Linked DNA regions of Saccharomyces cerevisiae S288C. The protein of the gene in region 2 interacts with the protein of the main gene of each other region in a pairwise test. Each region holds a gene or a part of one and is shown on either strand. Other genes may lie near its edges.

The links.
Region 1: the proteins of TMA22 (region 2) and TMA20 interact in binary tests that used the Saccharomyces cerevisiae proteins (3 or more experiments, as listed by UniProt).

What each region holds. Positions count from the first base shown.
Region 1 is NC_001137.3:165,397-168,666, forward strand, and holds TMA20 (translation machinery-associated protein 20), read right to left. Parts: upstream 1,490-3,270; coding exon 1,479-1,489; intron 1,376-1,478; coding exon 841-1,375; downstream 1-840. Other genes in the region: PAC2 (Pac2p), read left to right, coding at 1-687; GTP-Rho binding exocyst subunit SEC3, read right to left, coding at 2,412-3,270. UniProt on the Saccharomyces cerevisiae protein: Involved in translation.
Region 2 is NC_001142.9:459,891-463,213, forward strand, and holds TMA22 (Tma22p), read left to right. Parts: upstream 1-1,938; coding exon 1,939-2,535; downstream 2,536-3,323. Other genes in the region: YJR012C (uncharacterized protein), read right to left, coding at 1-303; GPI14 (glycosylphosphatidylinositol-alpha 1,4 mannosyltransferase I), read left to right, coding at 492-1,703; YJR015W (uncharacterized protein), read left to right, coding at 2,831-3,323.

The DNA.
Region 1 (3,270 bases), on a different chromosome or scaffold from region 2:
GCACCAAGTATTGCTATTTATTCTGTTGAATCCTTGGATATAACAGATAACAAATTTAAGGAAAGAAGTTTGATAGATGATTTGAATAAGACATTTCCCTCTTTGAAAAATATCCATCTGAGTGGCAACGAATTCAACTACAACGGAAATTATATTAACGTCGAAGAACAGGCTACTTTTTATGAAGTACTGGCTAGGTTTGATCGTGTGATGGTATTGAATGGATCAATATGTGATGTAAAAACAAGAAGAGAGGCTGAGATGTTTTTTGTTTCCAAGGTAATGAATAACGAATTGAGCTATGACACCAATCTGCCGCGTTGGTCAAGCCTCATAAAGTCGTATGAAATCGATATGAGTAAGCTAAGTTTCAACAATGAAAGAGAAACACGGCAATCTCTTGTCTTAAAAATAAAGATAAGAGCTGGCAAGAAGCCGAGTAGTGATTTAGATTATTGGGTCCTTCCCAGTTTTACAGTAAGGTACGTTAAGAGTGTAATATGTCGAAAGCTAAACTTTGACATACTGAATGTTAAGTTATTTCATGAAAATTCTGAAGGGATGATAAACGAAATAAAGTATAATTTTCGCCCCATTTCAGATTTTAATGTTGTGAACGGAGATATTATTCATGTTTCGTCTCCAGTAAATAACAAGAGCATTCAGAAGGTTAACAGCCCATCGTAATCACAGTATATAGTTAATCTTGGCTAGTTGCATATTTAAAAATCAGGAAACAGCCTTTTAGATTGTAAGCGGATGTTATTCTAATTTTTTCTTAGTTTCTTTATTTTATTATGTAGCAGATGGATAGTAATATAGTGTTGACGGCTCCGTTTGTTACTCAACGCTGAAGTTCCATAAGGGGTCGCCCAAATGGTGAATCAATTCTATGGAATGACCTTTGTTCACTGATTTAATTTCTTCAGTACCCATCATCAATTCACCAATAGCCAATGCATTCTCTTTATTTTCGGCATTGATGACTACAATCGTACCTTTCTCGTAACCAGGAGCAGGTGGTAAGTCGGCACCCGCAGAAGTTAGGCCAGGGCACATGATATTAGCACCTGAGAGAACGAATTTAATAGCACCTCTATCAACCTGAACAGTGGGATAAGCCTCTGGAAATTTGTGTACTAATTTCAGGCTTGGAATCAGTTCATCGAATTTTTGAAAAAAAAGAACTTCACCATCGACGGAATACAATTGGATCTTATCTTCACATTTAATCAACTCGATTTGACTCTTCTTAGGAATTAATTCATCAATAACATCTTCTATTTTGGGGTACTGCTTGACCAATTTGGCCTTTAACGTTCTTTGAATTGAAGATTTGACCTTTGAACGTGAATGGACATCTTCTCTTGTGAATCTATCGATGATGATGTTAGTAATTGCTTACTGAGTCAAAAGTGTACACTAACCCCTGGTAAAACCAGTGAATTACGCAATATTCATTCTCATGTTAGACATACTTCTTAAACATTTCCTCTCTGCTGTTTTAGTTTACCGTCTTTGTCTTTTATATGGTTTTACATAAGGTTATAGCAAAATCAAGTTTTTTCACACAATAATTTTTCAGATAATTAAATTTTTCGTCATTTTTACACCTACAAATACAAAGCATAAGAGTAAGGTAACTATGAATTTAGTGGAAAATGACCATAATGATAATTATCAATAGATAAAATTATGGTTTTTGAGGTGAAGTTGAGGTCTCGTTTATAGACGGCACTGTCAGGTAATTGGTCAACTCTCCTATACAAAGTTTACTGTATCGGGTGAAAAGAAAGACACACAAGAAGGAGAACACTCATGCCTACCATTTTAGTTGCCATTTCTGTATTACTTACAATTCCAGCTTCTATAACGTGAACTCACATTAGAGAATTCGGTGAAAAAGAAAAGAAAAATATGGTTGGGCCCTCAATTGAATGTTTCAGTCCGGTATCCCTAACCTATTTTTTGATATTACTTCCAAAGAAAAATAAACAGTCCCTTTGAAAGAATGAATATCGGTAATGAAAAAAGGTATTCCAAAAATTCCCTACATAGTCTTGAAGTATTCAAAAGCGAACACCGAATTGACCATGAGGAGACGGTCTGGTTTATAATTAAATTTCAACCAGCAAAAACACAATCTCGGACGAATCCTCACTGATATGCGTATTTCCCGTGCATAAGGATGGAGTATTAAGGAAGGAAGTGAAAGAAAAGAAAATGCATTAAACGTAAGTAACAATAGTAATTGGACAATGAAGCTAACTAATATTCTGTTCCTTTTATATTCAGAAAAAAAAATTCGAAAACTAATATATCATTTTACACGATATTTGAAATTGAAATTTATCAAAATATTTACTTAATTAGTCTAAATATGTAATATGAAGCGACAATGCAGAGGTTACTTAGGCATTCTTGTATTCCTCGAACGCACTTATGATATCGTTCTTCGTGAAGCGTATGTTTGTCCCTCTATAGTGTTTATCAATTACAGTGTATAGTTTCAAGTATAGTGAGACGGTTTGACCTTGAATGCACGACCACAACTTATCGCATAGGACGTTGTTTATGGCATTTTCTTGGTGGTAACCGAAGTCATTTACCATATGAGTGTGCAGCCTTTTTACTAGAGTTTCAATTTCATGGGAAGTGTATGCTAAAAGAATGTTCTCTAGGTTCTGCCTGCTATATGCGGCCCATCTTGAAGGATTGGTCATGTTCACATTGTTGGTATTTTCAATGATGTTGCTCACACCATAAACAAAGGCTGTTAGTTTAGGCATAGTATCGCGGAGTAGAAAGGAAGCATAAGATTCTTTTTCCACATCGAAAACTTTCTTAACGTTTTGCAATGACGTATCAAATATACCATCCTTATTGAAGTTTAACATGGAAAGCATTTCAGTTAGCCAGTTACTGTTCACTAGGAGAGAAATAGTTTCCATATAGTCATTATTTAAAGCAGCAGTATCTGAAAGGTTTGGATTAATGCTTGAATTAACTTCTTTGTGAGTTATCGATCGTGTGGCAGCTATGCTTAGCTTCCTGAAGCTCGAATTCATTAATTCGATGGACTCGTAGCCTTCATCGGTATCTTTAATATCCATAGACCTCTTAGCAAATTGGAACAAATCTTCTGAATTCTTCAAGCCTACTGGTAAATCAAGTATACCTGGAAGAATTTCTCCATTGGTGGTTGCGTTAGAAATTCTTTCGAAGTGCAAAACCTGCTCTTCTACATTATCAGACCACACTTGTTTTATT
Region 2 (3,323 bases):
ACTGTCATTAATCTGTAACTTAGACTGTATATCGTAACATTCAGACAGCCTTGTTAATGAGGTCATGCCTTCTAGGCTTTCTTGATCAATGTCCAGAGATATATTGGGTTTGTCTAATGATCCTTGATGAGATTGATGCTGCAGCTGACCTTCCCAAGGCCTAGGTCTTGGCCTCAATGAAGGAGTACTAGCTAAACCCTCATCCAGCGTAACATTGGGCACCTCCACAATATTAGGTATAGGCTTGTTATTCAGAATGTGATCCAGCAACTCTTCATAACTAAGTTCACCACCTGCTGCCATGCTTGACTCGTTATGTTCGCAATCAATTTTCAAGAGGTAAACCGAAACATGTGGAGCTCTTTTACAGGCTCCGATAATAATAAAAGAAACTTTAATAGTTGGTAAGAACTTGACAAAAAAAAACACAATATATATACATAAAAAAGTCAACAACTGACAAGCAAGGTAAAAGGTGATAAAGTTGAAAGATGACTGGCGAAGAATGGGGCTTGACTGTACTGTCATTCTTGGTAAGAGTCGGATTTTTTCTTTTTGGCATTTACCAGGACGCTAATTTCAAAGTGAGGTACACTGATATCGACTATTTTGTGTTTCATGATGCTGCTAAATATGTATACGAAGGCAAATCACCTTATGCAAGGGATACATATCGTTACACACCGCTACTAAGTTGGCTGCTAGTGCCTAATCATTATTTTGGATGGTTTCATTTGGGGAAGGTCATATTTGTTATTTTCGATTTGGTTACTGGGCTCATTATAATGAAGCTTTTGAACCAGGCCATCTCCAGAAAAAGAGCTTTAATATTGGAAAGCATTTGGCTATTGAATCCGATGGTTATCACCATCAGTACAAGGGGAAACGCTGAAAGCGTGCTTTGCTGTTTGATCATGTTCACGCTTTTTTTTCTACAAAAGAGTAGATACACCCTAGCTGGAATCTTATATGGTCTTTCTATCCATTTCAAAATATATCCAATCATATATTGTATCCCAATAGCAATTTTTATATACTACAATAAAAGAAACCAGGGTCCACGAACACAACTTACATCGCTACTCAATATCGGTTTGAGTACTCTAACAACTTTGCTTGGATGTGGTTGGGCAATGTACAAGATATACGGATACGAGTTTCTGGATCAGGCATACTTGTACCACTTATACAGAACGGATCACAGACACAATTTTTCAGTGTGGAACATGCTATTGTATTTAGATTCTGCAAATAAGGAAAATGGTGAGTCCAATCTCTCAAGGTACGCATTTGTGCCTCAATTGCTGCTTGTTTTAGTAACTGGATGTCTTGAATGGTGGAATCCCACATTCGATAACCTATTGAGGGTTTTATTTGTGCAGACGTTCGCATTTGTGACATATAATAAAGTGTGCACATCGCAATATTTTGTTTGGTACCTGATCTTTCTACCATTTTACCTCTCAAGAACGCACATTGGTTGGAAGAAGGGGCTTTTAATGGCCACGCTTTGGGTAGGAACGCAGGGAATTTGGTTAAGCCAAGGTTACTATTTGGAATTCGAAGGCAAGAATGTATTCTATCCTGGACTATTTATTGCAAGCGTGTTATTTTTCGTCACCAATGTGTGGCTACTGGGTCAATTTATTACTGATATTAAGATACCGACGCAACCCACAGTTTCCAACAAAAAGAACAACTGACTGACGTGAACTTGCACCATGTACATCAATTCTATAAATCTACTCATATAATGAATGTGTAAATATGAAAAAAAAAATGCAAAAGCGCACCACCAAAAGAGAAAAAAGCTGAAAAAAAAAAGGAAAAAGATACTTGATGTGATGTGTGAGTGAAAAAATTATTAATTCCTACTGGATAAAATCACCCCAAGGAAACAGTTCAAGAGCTAAACTAAAGAAAAGCATATTGCATAAAATGTTAAGAGAAGTCATCTATTGTGGAATTTGCTCCTACCCACCAGAGTACTGCGAGTTTTCAGGAAAATTAAAGCGTTGTAAAGTTTGGTTATCTGAAAACCACGCAGACCTTTATGCAAAGCTATACGGTACTGACGATAATACGCAAGAGGTGGAAGCCGTGACCAACAAACTGGCTGAATCCAGTATTGGCGAAGCTAGAGAGGAAAAGTTGGAAAAGGACTTGCTGAAAATTCAAAAAAAACAGGAAAACAGGGAACAAAGAGAATTAGCTAAGAAGCTGTCATCGAAAGTGATCATTAAAAGAGAAGCTAGGACCAAGAGAAAGTTTATCGTCGCTATCTCTGGGCTGGAAGTTTTCGACATCGACATGAAAAAGCTAGCCAAGACATTTGCGTCTAGGTTCGCCACAGGGTGCTCAGTCTCGAAAAATGCAGAGAAAAAAGAAGAAGTTGTCATTCAAGGTGACGTGATGGATGAAGTGGAAACTTACATACATTCCTTGCTGGAAGAAAAAGGCCTAAAGGACGTCAAAGTGGAAACCATCGATGCTAAGAAGAAGAAAAAGCCTGCTGCAGAAGGAGCTGCCAAGTAAGCAATCCATAAATATGTAATAGCACCGTTCTGGGAGAAAAGGACTTTTTACTTGGTAACCAGGCGTGTAGGTTAGATAGTCAAACCCTATATCGTTCTTGAGATCGTCGCTCATATATACTGTGCAGCCGGCCCTCGTGCGCCTGCGCCGTTCCTTCTCTGAAACCTTCGTAGTAGGACAATAAATATAGTCCCCATTGCCTATTCAAATTATTTGCAACCGAAAAACTGCAAAATTTGTTGTTGACCATAGGCGTACAAAACACAACTCAATCCAGCCGTAAGTAAGTATAGTTATGACTTCATCTCTAGATGATATAGAACCAACAGCATATAATAATATGGAAGCGGACGAGGAATATTGCAGACGCAACGATATACATGACCTTTCCAGCGTGGTCGGTGATGCTGTCTCACAAGGTGTGCCAGACATGGATGGTCAAACAACGGATTCTTCGAAGGACCCTGAGCCAAATTCCGAGGATAAGAAAGCGTTTCCTCCTTCGAGTGGCTCATTTTTTTCTCCTAATCTACAGGGTCAAAGGAAGAAAGTTCTTTTAAAGTTTGTTTTCACAAATTGCTTACTGGCCATAATTTGCTTTACAATGTTTGTGTTGTTCTGGGGGGCTCTTTACGACACCAGCAAGTATCTACACAAAGTTAAGCTTCTGGTTGTTATCCAGGAACCCCCTGTGGTAATTTTGGATAATAACAGTTCCATGGTAGTGCCCTCCATATCGTATGCTTTGCCTACTTTTATCAATAAAATACCATGTGATTGGGATATTT